Linked DNA regions of Arabidopsis thaliana. The protein of the gene in region 3 binds, or shares a complex with, the protein of the main gene of each other region. Each region holds a gene or a part of one and is shown on either strand. Other genes may lie near its edges.

Region 1 (3,281 bases), about 18 Mb from region 3:
TTTATTCGGCGAAGACCATAAATTTGTAACTAAAGATAACTACGTCAAAGTGTAAAAGTAAAATAATAAAAATCTATTTGAACACAGTTCTTTTACTGGGTAGTTTCACCCTTTACAAAATTTGCAGAATGTAGTTGCAGCCTATTCGACTTTTTGTAAATGACCAAGTTGGCAACTTAATAAATACCGCGTGGTTTATAGCTCATGTGCGTAGACTTCCGTGTGAAAATGGAAGCGGCACAAACAGAGTTGTTCAATTTTGTTGACAGGAACGCAGCTTTAGCTACATAACATAAGATTAGAGGCTTTGAGTAGATTCTAAGATATTTAAATTTATTTGTACTGTATTCTAACTTTTTAGATTCATTAAAAGTATCCAGTAAAGAGAAATTGTGTCATATGAGAGTTAAGAGAATTGTTTTGATCGACAAGAAAAGATGAAAGTTAATCTTTAGTATTTAAAGAAACATCTGATAAAACTAGAAATTATACATAATAGCAGAGCAAGTCATGTTAAACAAACATTCAGGGATCACAAAACATAGTTCATTCCTTGGACCGGCATCCTAAAGTAACCACCACCAAAATACGGGTTCTGGTGATGAGCAGCAAACATCACCGGTCTCGGTCTCGGTATCGGCATCGGTATCGGGATGTAACATCTAGTCATCATAAACTGCTGATGCTGTTGCTGCTCTAGTTGAAATTGCTGATGATCAACTCGTCTTACACTCTGCTTTCTACTATTAAGCAAATCGAAAGTCAACTTAGTGAAGACACGAGCCGTCAATTCACTGTCTGAGCCAGCGTGATGAGCTTTTCCAACACGTTTCATCTGCAACACATCAGCTATTCTCTGTAGTCCGAATTGGCTACTTAGTCCGCTGCATGATTCAGCGATTTTCTTTACGTCAAAAACAAACTTTCCCAAAAGCTGCTGGACGGTCTCGTGAAACTCTTCCTTAGTCTCCGGTAACGGTTTCCCTCCCGTTAAGCCTTTAACGAGATAAGCATTGTCGTAAGAGCCTTGAAAATTCACCCAAGTTATCTTTCCGTCCTTCTCCGTGAGAATCTGAGAAAAGTCTCTAAAGAATTCATCGATTCCAATACCTTCCTCTCTGATCTTGTCCAGATTGAGACCATTGCTTTTCAGAAACGCAATGGACTTATCGTTTTTGAAGCACTTATGTTCGTCGAAATCTGACAAGTTTATTTCCCAGGTTTTAGCGAATCCTCTTCTGTCGAATAGCGTGAAACCTAACTGGATGAGATGGGTGTTGTCCACATTGAACTTCATGTCTCTGTAACGAATTTCCTCACTCGCGTCCATCGGAGTCTCCTTTAAGCATCCGGGAAACTCTGTGTCGATAGCGATGGAACTACAATGTTTCAAACAATCTCTTATCGAATTCATCTCTACTTCCTTGTTCCATCTCCAAACTTCACCGCTACTAATTTGCTTCATCTCGAACGAAACTACGAAAGAAAAAAACGTTTGTTTTTCTGAAAGAGAAAAGCGAGAAGCCACCTGAATTTATTTTCGTTTGGTTATTAGGATTGTTGTTAGAGGAGATTAGATTATGTAGAGTAACACAGACTTCAGTTTCCTTTTTTTTTTAAGGCACAACACAAAATTTCCTTTTTGTTTCTCCTAATTCTTGTTAAACACGAGAATTTCCATTTTTCTCTTAAAAGCCAAAGAAAAAAAAAAAACTAACTTAGTGCGGTGATTGTTTTTCGCACATAATTATGTATATTTTATATAGAGCAACTAGATATTTGTTTAAATAGATTTTAATAACTTTATAATCATTTTTTACTGTGAATAGAAAATAGGGTAAATTGCAGGCCACATCCGTTGACCATGTTTTATTTCCATGGATTGTCAAAGTCAAATGTGGTTTTCACCATTTGTCTTTTCGCCTGCAAAATGACGTTTCTGCCCTTGCGTTTCTCTCTTAGCAACTGTTGAAATGTACGGTTTAGTTTAGCAGGTTTAGTTACGTACACTGTTCCGGTTCAGTTGAAGATTTTTTGTTCACGTTGACGCGATTCGGTTCCGTTACAAGTGAGATTATTCCGAAGTGACATCAACATTTAATGCCCCCAAAAAGTTTAGATGTGACTATTGTCACAATTAATGCAAAATCATCATTACATCAAATAATATTAAAAAAATTATTAATAATAATTAAAAAAAAATTTGTTGAGATGAAGAAGATGAACCCAGGAACAAAGAATTATTGCGAACGTACATTGCTGCTGAAGAAGTGTTGATCTTGTTTTTGTACCAAGTTTGGAGCATTGCTCGTGTAAGTAATGAAGTTCTTTTAAGAAGTTTTTTTTATGTCATATTAGGATCTTGATTGTGTTCGAACTCCATTTTTTTATCAGAATATTTGCAAAATCTATATTTGTTTGTTTAAAATAGTCAAATGATAATTGGTATTTAGGTTTATAAATGTGTAGTATCGACATTCCATTTGTTTTTTATATGTATAGTATTTTTCAGTTGCATTTAATGTGTGTCTCCTGAATTTATGATGCAGGTGGGTTATGGATATTCCCGTATTTACCATGGTCGGTGAGTGGAAATGCAAAGAAGGAGAATGGAAATTTGAACCTGAGGAAGGCATCTTTGGTCGTTGTGTACGCGTTCAGGAAACCATGACGTACACGGACTTTGTCCGTACACTCCGAGAGGCTTTCAGTTTGAAGTCCACCGAGATCAATCCCATAATTAGCTACTGGATGCCGGGTGAAATGTCAGTGCTGATAGATACTAAACGCCCTCCTGTATACATTGACAGTCAGATGGGTCTCGAGACGTTTTTTTTGGTTCGTGGTGGGTATCTTTCTCTCAACTTGTTCGTCTCTTTCAATAATACAGTGAAGGCGTTCGGGAATACTGTCTCTAGGTCTCATGGTGAAGTTTCTGAAAGTGACCGTGTGTTTGATAGTGCTACAAATGTTGATGAAAATAATGAGGATGCAGAGGAGCAAGCCGATGTTGAAGACGATACAACAGAAGCGGATGAATTGGAGGAGGGCAACGAAGATGATGATGGGTGTGATGATTATCTTGGTGTGGATGGATCTATTGGGGGAAGTACCCTGTATCCTACCACAGACGGTAGTGAAGGTATTGGCGAAGAATACGATTACAACAAGTGGAACGATGTAATAGTAGAAGAATATGTACAAGGAAATCTTGAGGAAGACGTCAGTCTCACTCAACAGACTGCTCAACATCCAGGGAAATTCAGTCGTTTATTGGAAAC
Region 2 (4,331 bases), on a different chromosome or scaffold from region 3:
CTGATATGTATATAAATAATTTTGATGCTATTTCGTCCGCACTGTGTTACACATTTTTATTTAAATATGTAACGTTTTTTTGGTTACCTAAAGCAAAGCAATAGCCAATAGTGGTCATTTGATAATAACTAAACCCTAAAACAACAAACATGCCCAAATCAGAATCCCAATTCAACCTTGGTAAAAACGTTCTCCCACCTCTGATCAAAGCCCACACAACAAAGGCCCAAATCAGAATCCCAATTCCCAACACACAAACACACGTGAAGAGACTCAGAGAAGCCGTTAAAGACAGGACTAGCAAGTACACTGTTTCTTCTGTAATAAGAAGTAGATTTGATTCTCTGCCACACCTACATAATAGTGACTCGGACTTTTGCCGTATTGCTGTTGTTTTCTTCTTTTTACTTTATTTCTCGTGTCGTGTTGCTATTGGATCATATGTTTTCGATCATCAAACAAGTTCGTGTAATGAAATATTTAAGGTTTTGAGAAACTTAGATTTAATTATCTTGATGGAAACTGAGTTCATACACAAATCCACATTTTGACATAATACTTCCAACAGGCTGATACTTTTTTTTTTTTCTTCGGCAATTGAATGAGCTACGACGTCTCAATCAGTCAAATCTCGTAATCTTCTGTACCACTTGCGACTCAGATGACGTCTGAATACTTGCCCAACAAAACATTGATTGCATTAGAATGCTACTCATTGACAATATGATAATAAATTGGCTATTGAGGTGATTGGCGAATGCAACAGCATACATATGTGATTCTCCTCCACATTAACCATGACATGATACCACTTACATCATAAACACCTAAATAACAAATCTATACATCAATCGATTACCATAGCTCTGTTTTTTAAACAATGTAACACATATAACCTCTAGCATAAGCAGTTCATTGTTCTCCTTATCAACTTGTATCAACGAAGAGGGAAAGAAGAACACAGGAAGATTCAACATTCTCTTAAGCATAAAACTTACCAGTTTGCATCTTCAAACTGGTATGGTTACAAAGAATTACACAGTAACTGCAAGCTGAGACATGCAAACGCTACTACAAGAAGCCACTGTCAAGTTACATTGGTCACTAGTAAGAAGAAAACACACACAAAAAGAAAAGAGAAGAAAAATTAAAATTGGAGATTATTTATTAAATAAACGGGTAGCTGAATTGATATACATTCAGAAACTCAAGCTAAAACAAAAACCCCTCAAATTTTGATCACAAGGGGTTTTCCTGAAAACAAAGCAACAAAGACACAACAAGTCACTTACTAACACCAATTTGCCAATTTACACAACGACGATTCTATTTTGGTCTTCTCACACTCACAAAGACTAAAGAAATATATCTAATCGCACTTCCCTGGAATTTTCAAAGTATCTTTCATTCCTTTCTTCTTAATTAGCAACAGTAGTAGTAGTACCATCTTCCACACCTAGACCATACAAGACTCCAGTGTATTTCTCAGTTGATCCCGGGAAATAACGTTCCTTGAGCTTCCTAAACGACCCTAAGGTGAGCAAGCTATCCGACCCAGCTTGATGACAAATCCCAACTCTCTCCACTCCCATAAGCTCCGCAAGTCTGTTCAATCCACCAAACAGTCCGTTGCAGAACGTCATCAAGTGCTTGATATCGTAAACCGTAGGGAAATACACATACAGAAGCTTGAAGAAATCAGCTTGCTTGAGAGGCAATTCCTTACAAGTCAACAACTTAACCAAATACCCGAAATCATATCCACCATGGAACGTAACCCACGAGATAGCATCGTTCAAAACAATCCCAGACGACATCATAAGCTCACCAAACCTAACCACATCAATACCTTTCTCAATGTTCTTCTTGAAATCAATCCCACACTGACGCAACAGCTCAATAGACTCACTCGCGTAGATATCCTCACCGATGTTGAACTCACGGAAATTGAATTGCCAGATGCAGAACTTATCCGTCCCACAAGTCGGAAGATTCCCATTCTCATCAGAAAAAGTTAACCCAACTTGAATCAATTTCAACAAATCGACATTTTCCTTGAGAGTCCTGTAGTTAAGATCGTTATTGTACTTGAAAGTAGCAACAGGCTTCAAAACCACACCTGGAAACTCAGTATCCATAGCGATATAGCTGAATTTGTCAACAATCTCACGGATCAACGCGAATTCTTCAACCAAATTGTAATCCCAAACCTCTCGAATCATAATCGAATCTTCTTTCAAAGTCTCCGCCATTTCTAGATATACAACAAACCCAGATCTGAAAACAAAGCATACGTCGGAACTCGGAAATACTGCGAAACTCGTATCGGTAGATCTGTAAACGAAACCTTCCGATCTGAGGAAGAGGCAACAACACCAGGAAAATCAGAAATCGATGTAACAAAAAGCAAACCCTAGCTGTGAAACGAAAATCGAAATGAAACGGAGAGACATGAAAGTATGAAATTACCAGAGGTTTCGCAATACAGATGTAAGAAAAGGAACAGATCTAGCAGATTCGAAGAGAGATCTGTGCGTCTGCGAGAGAGAAATTATCGGGTCAACCAGAGAGAGAGGTTTCAAGTGGTATGGCTTTGGAGAAGATGAAGTGATAAATAAAGACAAGTGTGAGCCTTGAAACGAAGCCGTTTTGTTTGACGATGAAAAGCTTATACGACGACGTTTTGCCGTGCGTCTTCTTACATCAATCATTACGTTTTGGCCAGTTACCAATTATTTTATCCGTATTGTCCGTTTTCTAATTATTTTAATGATGCGAATTGTGTGATATGATGACCAATTTTTATTTATGTGTATCACGGAAATTCCGTTCGTTTGTAACTTCCATGATCTTTTTTTTTTCTTTTGCTTTGTAGACCTACCTCCATTATTCTTAAATTTTATGTATTTTATAGCATTTGGTACTAGAGTTAAATTGTTATACCTTATTATGACGATCGAACTTTATAGTTATAGGAAAAGTTGTATAAACTAAACTGCATTTTGATTTTTGTACAAGTCTAAATTTATATGGTTAAGAAACAGATTGTGCTAATAAACAATCAAAATTATTTATTTTTGCTATGGAGCTAGTCAGCTAGATGATTTGAAGAACCTTAAAACTTCTTTTTCTTACAATTTTAACTCAGTTTTATATCATTTGGTAATAATATTCCTACGGATTGTCTCGCAATTTTATATCACATTTTAATAATTTCTGTACTGATTATCTCACAAAATTGAAAGAATATCAATTTTTTTTTTTGTCGAAAATTTGAAAGAACATAATATTTGATTATTTTCCAGGTAAACTCTTTTATTTCTGTTTTTTTTTCTTCTATGTAAACTCTTCAATTTCGGATTTGTTTCCTATGTAGTTCTGCCAATTAATTGAAAATATGGTATCTTGTTTTTTTTCAACTCAAAAAAAGGATTTTAGATTTATGTTATCTTGTTATTAAGAAGGATTTGTTAGCATAATTGTTAAACAAAACAAAGTAATTTTAATTATAATAGAATTGACTTTGGGATTTCTACCTTACAAGTTACAAGTGGCCAATATTAATGCAATCATACAACGAATGGGAAGACGTTTGATAGAGATACATGCATCACTTGTTACAATCATCTTCGTTCATGAATAGAATCATTTTAGATTTATTTATTTTAGAAAAAAACTTTCAAGTTTCACCAGCGTAATCAGTTTTTCTTCTTAAAATTATTACATGAAAAGATTCTCCAACTCAAACGAGGACCAAAGTTCTTTTTTTTTTTACAAAAAAAGACAACTATTAGGAAGAAAGGGGATAAAGGAATTTTAATTCTAATTATTATTACGGAGTCAAGGCATCATCGTGCTTCCCACTTACCCTCAAGCATAATCCATTGTTTTGTAATAATTAATTCGTTTTTATATAAACTAATGTATTAGCTTGTTTTATATCAAATAATTGTGTACCTTTTTCTATAAATTAAAAAAAATAAACAAGTAATGTCAAGTCACGAAATATTAGATGGTGGTTTCATCATCCGACCATTTTTAGGAAATTTCTTCTGGAATCCAACACATACCAAACATGAAAGTTTCTGCATAATTGTTCTTATATATATAACAAAATTTACTTAATTGTTACCCTCCAAAAATATGTCTCACCGTGTAATTGCTTGCTCATCTAAAATCTAAATAGAATTCTATATTTAAAATCAAAATCGAAAAAAACGAAAATAGAAACTAAAATTGAAATTTTTGTTACTTAAATTAGAAAGAATTATTTAAACAGTTGCATGTATTTAACGTAGATAAATTCTTTAATATCACGTGCACATATAATT
Region 3 (6,166 bases):
GGCTGTGATGCGTGCATGAAGAGATCACGTGCTAGTTGGTACTGTCCAGCCGATGACGCTTTCCTATGCCAAAGCTGCGACGCCTCGATCCACTCGGCTAACCATTTAGCGAAACGGCACGAACGTGTCCGGTTACAATCATCTTCGCCGACGGAGACGGCAGACAAAACGACGTCGGTATGGTACGAAGGATTCAGGAGAAAGGCGAGAACGCCTAGGAGCAAGAGTTGTGCGTTTGAGAAGTTGTTGCAAATCGAGTCAAACGATCCTCTTGTTCCGGAGCTTGGTGGAGACGAAGATGATGGCTTTTTCTCGTTCTCCTCCGTAGAAGAAACCGAGGAGAGTCTGAATTGTTGCGTGCCTGTTTTCGATCCTTTCTCAGACATGCTGATTGATGATATAAACGGCTTTTGCTTAGTTCCTGATGAAGTCAATAACACTACTACTAATGGAGAATTAGGAGAAGTCGAGAAGGCAATCATGGACGATGAAGGTTTTATGGGGTTCGTGCCATTGGATATGGATCTTGAGGATCTCACTATGGACGTGGAGAGTTTACTTGAGGAAGAACAACTTTGCTTGGGATTCAAGGAACCAAACGATGTTGGAGTCATCAAAGAAGAGAATAAAGTAGGGTTTGAGATTAATTGTAAGGATTTGAAGAGGGTGAAAGATGAAGATGAAGAAGAAGAAGAAGCCAAGTGTGAAAATGGAGGATCAAAGGATAGTGATAGAGAAGCATCAAATGATAAAGATAGAAAGACAAGTTTGTTTCTGAGATTAGATTATGGAGCTGTGATTAGTGCTTGGGATAATCACGGTTCGCCGTGGAAAACCGGAATCAAACCGGAGTGCATGGTAAGTTGGTGTCTCTAGCTATATCTCTCATCTCTATGTTAGTCTTTAGTAGTGTCGAGTTCCGTTGACTTTGAGCTGATATATATTGATTATAAAAGACGAAATAACGTTATAAAGTTCACTGATCCAGTTGGGAGGGAACACGTGTCTGCCTCATGTTGTGGGTGGGTACGAGAAATTGATGTCGAGCGACGGATCGGTGACACGTCAGCAAGGGAGAGACGGAGGAGGATCGGACGGGGAGAGAGAGGCGAGGGTTTTGAGGTACAAGGAGAAGCGGAGGACGAGGTTGTTCTCAAAGAAAATAAGATATGAGGTTCGGAAACTTAACGCTGAGCAGAGACCTCGAATCAAAGGTCGTTTCGTGAAGAGGACGTCACTTTTGACGTGATTTGATTTACTTTAATCAACACTTTAAAGATCTTGTAATTAAGACCTTTGAAGTAATTGTCGTAATGTACTGAATAATGAACTGAAACTCTTGGGGCCGATGGTTGTGTAGACTTGTAGCCGGCAACTATGATTTTATAGATTGATTGATTGAGTAATTTATTGTATATATCAAATGAAAACTCTTTGTTTATCAAATGAATTGGAGAAAAAAGCCATAATGTGTGATAATAACGAACACTAAAAAATTCGTAGCGAAGACATGTTACAAAGAAAACAAGTGTAATTAAAAAAAACAAAAAAAAAACAAGAAACAAGTTCAAATTAGAACATGCCATTTCCAACAATTTACAAATGAAGCAAGAAATAAAAGCCATTAAGGCCTAGTTATGGCTGAATAGCCCATCACACAATTAAAAAAACCAACATAAAGAGCCCAACTAGGCAACTACTTAAGCCAACCGGTTTGGGTTATCAAGTACGTATTTTAATCGTTAACCAGTAAAAATCGTGAATTTCAACCGACTGAATTTGGTTAACTTCACAAGGTTGACGCATAGCTCACGCGCCGCCGACTTGCTACGATTGACATGAGCGGATACGAGCGTAAGAACACGACGGCGAACTCAATCACCATCACCAAGCGGAAGCGTAACTCGATTTCGGAACAATCGGAGAACGTATACGAGAAATCGAATAGGAAGGAGTCAATAACCTTAAAACCTCACCGTTCTTTTACGCCGGGATTCAGCCAGCGTGATTGTAAACCTGTCAGACATAGTAAGTCTTCTCTCCGCCGGCGACGGAGAACTAAGGAGAAGATCTCGAGTTCCGTTGAGCGCGAATGGGTGTTTTCCGCAAACAATTTTGAAAATCTAGCAGGTCTGTGTGCATTGCAATCACACTGAATAATGCACTTATATGCTTTTATTAGCTTCACGAAGTATCACATTCCGTACTTTGAACACATTTTTATCTTATGTGTATGAAAAACTTGATATCTCCTTTTCAATTCTTCAGATAAATTAGTATTAGTTTCGTACAATCTACTTGGTGTTGACAATGCGTCGAACCACATGGACTTGTATTACAATGTTCCGCGGAAGCACTTAGAGTGGAGTAGACGGAAACATCTCATATGCAAGGAGATTAGTCGTTACAATGCAAGCATCTTATGTCTTCAGGCAAGTTCCAGGGGATTGCCTAGATCTACACTATTTAAGTTTCATTGCATTCTCATGTCCAAATTTATTGCAGGAGGTTGACCGCTTTGATGATTTAGATGTTCTTCTTAAAAATAGAGGATTTCGAGGTGTTCACAAGGTATATATACGAGTCAAAAGCTTTATTACCTTGTATGCAATGGTGCCTTTTTCATACATTTAGTATTTTTTAGAGTCGGACTGGAGAAGCGAGTGATGGTTGTGCTATATTTTGGAAAGAGAATCTGTAAGTTCAGTTTTTTTCTATTTAGGATCATTTTTAATGTGGTGGGAAGTCTCTATATGCTGGAGTCAGGATCAGGAATCTAGCCATTTGAATTGTCTACAGGGAATATCTCTCTTTTGGAACGAGATAAATTAGATCTTCTAGTTATCTGTTTTGAATGTTTCGAAATTGTTAATGGTAGGTTCACGTTGTGTTATGTTATCAGCTTTGACCTTGGCTTCACAATATATTGTTCAAGGCTGAAAGCTTTGCTTTCTATTGTTCTCGATGTTATTTATTTTGTATTAGACTCTTACTCTACTAGTTTCATCATTTATGTTATATTTCTGCTGTGAATGCAGATTTGAACTTCTAGACCATCAACATATAGAGTTTGATAAATTTGGTATGCGAAACAATGTTGCTCAACTTTGTGTTTTAGAGGTATGCACCGTTTTAAGTTATTTCTGTATTGTCGTCTTCCCCCTCTTTTCTCCTCTGTCTTTTCTTGATTCTAGAAGCACAGAGATATGACAAGCTTAATTGTGGGCATTATTTTATATATTTTTCCCTCCTGTTGTGTTTTCAGCTTTGCAGGCTAATTGCTTAATTTTCTTAGTTTCAGCCCTTGCAATTAATTAATTTACTTGATTGTCTATTACGGAACAGATGAACTGTGAGGAGGACCCAAAGTCTAAATTACGGGTGCGATCATCAGAGTATGTCTGAGTTCTGTTCTGATTCCTTTACTGGAGTGAATATTGAACTTACTTTTAAGATCCTTACTAAATTTTATGCGCACTTCCATGTTTGGTTGATTTATGCAAACTTCTACTAGTCCTCGAAGGCTAGTGGTTGGGAATATACATGTCCTATTCAATCCTAAGCGTGGGGATATCAAGCTTGGCCAGGTATGTCTTGCTAGATCCTTACAAAATTCTGATAAAAACTGGCTTATCCATAAAATCGGTAGAGCATTTCTGTCACTACACATCCTGAGTTTAGAAATGTCAATTTTTTAGCTAGTACTATTTTATGGTATTCATCAGTACATCAATGCCTGTCAGTATTGAAACTTCATTGAAATTCTAAGTAGCTCGCTCATTTCTTGATATTTGATATGTCATAACTTATAGGTAAGACTCTTTCTGGAGAAGGCTTACAAGCTATCACAGGAATGGGGAAATATTCCTGTGGCGATTGCAGGTGATCTGAATAGCACTCCACAGGTGATCTCTACCAACTTTTGTTTTTTTTGTTCTAATACTTATTTTTTAGCTGAATTCTAAAACTTACTCTGGATTTGCTGTACAGAGTGCAATCTATGATTTCATAGCTTCAGCTGATGTGAGTTCCATTGAGGGTTCTGGACTCTTTCTTTTACATTTCGCCTGGTCATAATTTTTTTCCTTTCTTTACTGGGAAAGTTAGAATGAACTCTTTATATTCCTTTTTTAATTTTGGACAGTTGGATACACAACTTCACGATCGCAGGCAAATTTCTGGCCAGACTGAAGTGGAACCAAAGGAGAGGTCATTCAGAAACCATTATGCATTTAGGTAGCTTGTAATTCACCGGGGTCTTTGGTTTCTCTAAATAATGTATCCATATTCCTTTTCTGCCTACCTGATGAACGGATAGATTGCTTATATCTCTTCTGTTTACCTGATGAACTGATAGAGTGATAGATTACTTATATTTTTCTTTGGCCTGCGCTTAATCAACTACGTAATCCTCAGATGAAGTTTCTATCTCAATTTAGTCTAACTAAACAACTCCCTCTTTCGTCAGTGCTTCAGCATCCATCTCCGGATCACTACTCAATGAGTGGAGCCAGGAAGAATTACAGCTTGCAACTGGTGGTCAAGAAACCACTCATGTCCAACATCAACTGAAGCTTAACAGCGCATATAGTGGAGTTCCTGTAAGTGTTTTTGTTTCTTGTTCTCGACTGGTGGACGCATCGAAAAGAGTTGAAATCTGCCTTACAGGAAAACTAAGTTCTTAGGAACTGTGGCTTTCTTTTATACTAGATACTGAAAAACGTTTAGGGAAAGTAGCATGTTGTATGATGTTATATATCCTTCTAGTATGCTAAGACCTGAGATCTTGCAGGGTACATATAGAACTAGAGATCAACGCGGTGAACCATTGGCAACAACGTATCATTCCAGGTTCCTTGGAACTGTTGATTATATATGGTAAGTCTGTTGTGCTTATGAAATCCGAATCATTAATCAGAGCTTTCAATTATATATGGCTATCAATGTTGTGATATATGCACATGTAATTTTGAAATCTCAATAATTAATCTGAGGTTTTGAACCCAGGCATACCAAGGAACTCGTTCCTGTGAGGGTTCTTGAGACCTTGCCAGCAGATGTATTGAGAAGAACAGGTGGACTACCTAGTGAGGTAAGTTTTTTTTTCTAGGCTAAACTTTTTTTCTGGGGCAACCCTTTACTTTCTCGAGTTACTCTATTCATTTTTTCAAGAATGTAAAAACTGGGATTATTGGAAGAGTTGCATACAAGTCTCTGACCAATGAAAATTTGCAGAATTGGGGAAGCGACCATCTCGCTATCGCATGTGAACTCGGCTTTGTCAATGACTGGCAATGAGCCAAAATGTTAGCACCAACCACTAAACCGAGCCACCTGACTTGGCCATCCCTTGAGGTTTTTGAATGCTCATCGAGGCTTCTGAATTGGAGTTCGGAAACAGATTCAGTAAATTGTAAAACATAAACAAGTTTTGGGCTCATTCCCATACATAGATTTGCTTACTTGAAACATTTTTTTTTACCTTACCTACCCAAGACTTGCACCTACTCTTTCTGCTTTTAAAAAGTTAATACCAAAATAGCATGTTACTGGACGTGTACCTATGAGGAGCGAAGACCCATTTTGCTACTAGAAGCAAAACAATGTAAGAGACGTTGCGTAAAAAGTATCTCAATCTGTTCACTCCAAAATAAGCTCTTCTCAAGTGTCATCTGACGCTGCATTAATCAAAATACCACACGGTATTATCAAAAGTGTCGTAAGCATTCTTTCCAAGTGTTGGGAATACATTGGGTACACAAATCGGCCATTTACAGTTAACACACATCTATTTAAATCACTCTTTTCTCTTTGCTCCACCAAAACATTCCGGCATAAACAAAAAAAAGTCCCACTAGAAAAGCTCATTATGAAAGTGAACGAGGAAAACAACAAGCCGACAAAGACCCATGTCTTAATCTTCCCATTTCCGGCGCAAGGTCACATGATTCCCCTCCTCGACTTCACCCACCGCCTTGCTCTCCGCGGCGGCGCCGCCTTAAAAATAACCGTCCTAGTCACTCCAAAAAACCTTCCTTTTCTCTCTCCGCTTCTCTCCGCCGTAGTTAACATCGAACCACTTATCCTCCCTTTTCCCTCCCACCCTTCAATCCCCTCCGGCGTCGAAAACGTCCAAGACTTACCTCCTTCAGGCTTCCCTTTAATG
Region 4 (3,535 bases), about 18 Mb from region 3:
GTTTTTGCTTGCATGATAGTAAACCCAGTGAAAAGAAGAGGAAACATGATGAAGATTCTAATCTTCCTAATGGATCCGGATATGGTGATCACATTCAACTGCTACAGATTTTCGAATCTTGGGACCGTACTAATTATGATCCTGTATGGTGCAAAGAGAACGGCATGCAGGTAATTGTTCCATTTTCTTCCTTCCTTCCTTATCTATTCTCGAGTATTCCAAGTGAAAAGCATGGTGACATCAAAAGCCTTACTGCATTGTTACTTCAGAAGGTGGTCAGTTATATGCTGTCTCTGCAGTTAATACAATCTATATAGCATAGAAAATCCCTTCATTGTTGAGACCTGACTCCGATGGGCGTCAATGTTTGTATTTTCTGCTTCATACAGTTTTATAACCAACAATTATGGGAGTTACTGAAATTTACTACCTTTGTTTAGATAGTCTATTTCGGTACATTATTACGTGGGTTCCTTATGCCAATAAGAAAGATAACTTTTGTTGAAAAATAATTTGCAGGTGCGAGGGATGGTGTTTGTCAAAGATGTTAGAAGACAGTTATGTCAGATTATGCAGAAAATATCCAAAGGTTAGATTGTTTCATGACAAGAAGATTCCGTGAAAGAATATATAATTATTTCTCTATGGCTTTCACCCTAAATGGTTATGCCTCCAACAGAACCAGAGTTTATGTCAACATCACTCTTTTATCTTGTGAGATGTGATAGGTGGCTGTGTCATACCTAACCAACCGTCACTAAAATATTTGGTCTCCTTGACAAACTAGATCGATTGGAAGTTGGGGCAGATGGTAGGAAGAGTTCAAGCCGAGACGACTACAGGAAGTTGAGGAAAGCTCTATGCGTTGGTAATGCAAACCAAATTGCTGAGAGAATGCTTCGTCACAATGGATACCGGACTCTTAGTTTCCAGTCCCAGCTAGTCCAGGCATTACTTCTCAATCCAAGTCTCATTTATCTGTTACAGTGTTAGATTTTCTATTACATCAGTAGCTCAGATATGTAAGCATTTCCAGTTTCGTATGATCATCGACATATTGACGTTTTTGGTTGATTCTAGGTGCATCCATCATCTGTATTGAGTGCCGACAATGACGGAATGATGCCTAACTACGTAGTGTACCATGAGCTGATTTCCACCACACGTCCGTTCATGCGGAATGTTTGTGCAGTAGATATGGCATGGGTGGCTCCCATCAAAAGAAAGATCGAGAAATTAAATGTCAGAAAATTGAGGTAAAAACAAACATTACTCTTTACTAGTTCAATCCAGTCTTGTTCTAGCTTTTTCTTGTCTGGTCTTGGATTCAGTAATTGATCGGTATCATTTAATCTGCCATGTAGCGGTGGACCGGCTCCCTCTTTCAAAGTACCTGAGGAGAAGACGGAGTTGTCTAAAAACAATGCAGAAACACCTGCAGTTTCTGAAAATGTTGAGAGTCGGATTGAAGCAGCCAGAGAACGCTTTCTTGCTCGTAAAGGACAGAAATAAATTTGATGTCTCAAACATAAATACAAGATTCAACTAGCCCTATAAAGAATAGAAAAGAGAAGCTTTCTGTAGAAGATTTGTTATTAGAGACAATTTTCAAATTTTGTATGTTCTGTTTTTTTTTTTTTTGGCTCAACTTAAACTTTTCTTTATTCTCATTCGACATGAGTTTTAAATTTTTAACCCAATTTGGTATGTTCTTAGTATTATGTTTAAAAGATGATAATGTTTACACGAAAAAAGAAAAGAAAAAGGTTTTGGTATTAGTCAGACTTCGGTTTAGTGATTTAATTCGGTTTAGTATTAAAATTGTAAACCGCTTCGGAAACAGGCTTCTCTTATTTTGGGCTTTTGAGAGGAAAATGGAAATCTCGTGTCCAACAAGAATTAAATTAGGAGTGATAAAAGTCAACACGAACTTTTTGACTGGAAAAAAATGGAAACTTTCCGGCGACGTAAGAAAAAAGGAAACTCCCACTGCTATTAGTATTCGAGTCTCCGAAATCAGATAGAGAGAGAGATTAGTATTTCAGATAAACAAACTGTTTCAGTCTTCAAAATCCGAGAGAGATGGGTGAAGTTTGGAGATGGAACAAGGAAGTAGAGATGGATTCGATAAGAGATTGTTTGAAACATTTTAGTTCCATCGCTATCGACACAGAGTTTCCCGGATGCTTAAAGGAGACTCCGATGGACGCGAGTGAGGAAATTCGTTACAGAGACATGAAGTTCAATGTGGACAACACCCATCTCATCCAGTTAGGTTTCACGCTATTCGACAGAAGAGGAATCACTAAAACCTGGGAAATAAACTTGTCAGATTTCAACGAACATAAGTGCTTCAAAAACGATAAGTCCATAGCTTTTCTCAAAAGCAATGGTCTCAATCTGGACAAGATCGGAGAGGAAGGTATTGGAATCGAAGAATTCTTTAGAGACTTTTCTCAGATTCTCAAGGAGAAGGACGGAAAGATAACTTGGGTGAATTTTCAAGGCTCTTACGACAATGCTTATCTCGTTAAAGGCTTAACGGGAGGGAAACCGTTACCGGAGACTAAGGAAGAGTTTCACGAGACCGTCGAGCAGCTTTTGGGAAAGTTTGTTTTTGACGTAAAGAAAATCGCTGAATCATGCAGCGGACTAAGTAGCCGATTCGGACTACAGAGAATAGCTGATGTGTTGCAGATGAAACGTGTTGGAAAAGCTCATCACGCTGGCTCAGACAGTGAATTGACGGCTCGTGTCTTCACTAAGTTGACTTTCGATTTGCTCAATAGTAGAAAGCAGTGTGTAAGACGAGTTGATCATCAGCAATATCAACTAGAGCAGCAGCAGCTTATGATGACTAGATGTTACATCCCAATACCGATACCTATACCGAGACCGAGATCGGTGATGTTTGCTGCTCATCACCCGAACCCGTATTTTGGTGGTGGTTACTTTGGGATGCCGGTCCAAGGAAGGAACTACGTTTTGTGATGCCTGAATGTTTGTTTAACATGACTTGCTCTGCTATTATGTATAATTTCTAGTTTTATCAGATGTTTCTTTAAATACTAAAGATTAACTTTCATCTTTTCTTGTCGATCAAAACAATTCTCTCAACTCTCATATGACACAATTTCTCTTTACTGGATACTTTCAATGAATCTAGAATACAATACAAATAAATTTAAATATCCTAAGAATCTACTCAAAGCCTCTAATCTTATGTTATGTAGCTAAAGCTGCGTTCCTGTCAACAAAATTGAACAACTCTGTTTGTGCCGCTTCCATTATCACTCGGAAGTCTACGTTCATATACCTTCCCCTGCAAAGCCATATTTCAATTAAATCACATGTACCATCACCAAACAATAACTTGCATGGCTTGGTTTAGCTGATGATGATGAATATACCAGAAATGAGTCTTGGACCAGACTGAATTCGGAAAAGCTGGACTTCCAACTCCGTGCATTATTCTCGCGATGGCTCTTGGTGTGAATTTGGCTTGGCGATTACTCTGCAAAAACACCTGTTTTGA

What was found.
Region 1: AT1G73875 (region 3) and AT1G27820 share a complex: the UniProt entries of both Arabidopsis thaliana proteins name them as parts of the CCR4-NOT complex.
Region 2: AT1G73875 (region 3) and AT5G10960 share a complex: the UniProt entries of both Arabidopsis thaliana proteins name them as parts of the CCR4-NOT complex.
Region 4: AT1G73875 (region 3) and AT1G27890 share a complex: the UniProt entries of both Arabidopsis thaliana proteins name them as parts of the CCR4-NOT complex.

What each region holds. Positions count from the first base shown.
Region 1 is NC_003070.9:9,689,812-9,693,092, reverse strand, and holds AT1G27820 (Polynucleotidyl transferase, ribonuclease H-like superfamily protein), read right to left. Parts: upstream 1,466-3,281; coding exon 533-1,465; downstream 1-532. UniProt on the Arabidopsis thaliana protein: Ubiquitous transcription factor required for a diverse set of processes. It is a component of the CCR4 complex involved in the control of gene expression.
Region 2 is NC_003076.8:3,462,502-3,466,832, reverse strand, and holds AT5G10960 (Polynucleotidyl transferase, ribonuclease H-like superfamily protein), read right to left. Parts: upstream 2,736-4,331; 5' UTR 2,470-2,735; intron 2,356-2,469; 5' UTR 2,253-2,355; coding exon 1,419-2,252; 3' UTR 519-1,418; downstream 1-518. UniProt on the Arabidopsis thaliana protein: Ubiquitous transcription factor required for a diverse set of processes. It is a component of the CCR4 complex involved in the control of gene expression.
Region 3 is NC_003070.9:27,779,274-27,785,439, forward strand, and holds AT1G73875 (DNAse I-like superfamily protein), read left to right. Parts: upstream 1-1,581; 5' UTR 1,582-1,838; coding exon 1,839-2,130; intron 2,131-2,268; coding exon 2,269-2,432; intron 2,433-2,505; coding exon 2,506-2,571; intron 2,572-2,644; coding exon 2,645-2,697; intron 2,698-3,038; coding exon 3,039-3,120; intron 3,121-3,345; coding exon 3,346-3,395; intron 3,396-3,514; coding exon 3,515-3,587; intron 3,588-3,812; coding exon 3,813-3,905; intron 3,906-3,990; coding exon 3,991-4,023; intron 4,024-4,144; coding exon 4,145-4,236; intron 4,237-4,468; coding exon 4,469-4,601; coding exon of another isoform or gene 4,602-4,685; exon of another isoform or gene 4,686-4,792; coding exon 4,793-4,878; intron 4,879-5,007; coding exon 5,008-5,092; intron 5,093-5,235; coding exon 5,236-5,298; 3' UTR 5,299-5,647; downstream 5,648-6,166. Other genes in the region: BBX16 (B-box type zinc finger protein with CCT domain-containing protein), read left to right, coding at 1-858, 989-1,249; UGT89B1 (UDP-glucosyl transferase 89B1), read left to right, coding at 5,870-6,166. UniProt on the Arabidopsis thaliana protein: Acts as a catalytic component of the CCR4-NOT core complex, which in the nucleus seems to be a general transcription factor, and in the cytoplasm the major mRNA deadenylase involved in mRNA turnover.
Region 4 is NC_003070.9:9,713,592-9,717,126, reverse strand, and holds AT1G27890 (Polynucleotidyl transferase, ribonuclease H-like superfamily protein), read left to right. Parts: upstream 1-1,950; 5' UTR 1,951-2,082; coding exon 2,083-2,991; downstream 2,992-3,535. Other genes in the region: AT1G27900 (RNA helicase family protein), read left to right, coding at 20-170, 520-589, 788-948, 1,081-1,256, 1,365-1,512; AT1G27880 (DEAD/DEAH box RNA helicase family protein), read right to left, coding at 3,226-3,322, 3,411-3,526. UniProt on the Arabidopsis thaliana protein: Ubiquitous transcription factor required for a diverse set of processes. It is a component of the CCR4 complex involved in the control of gene expression.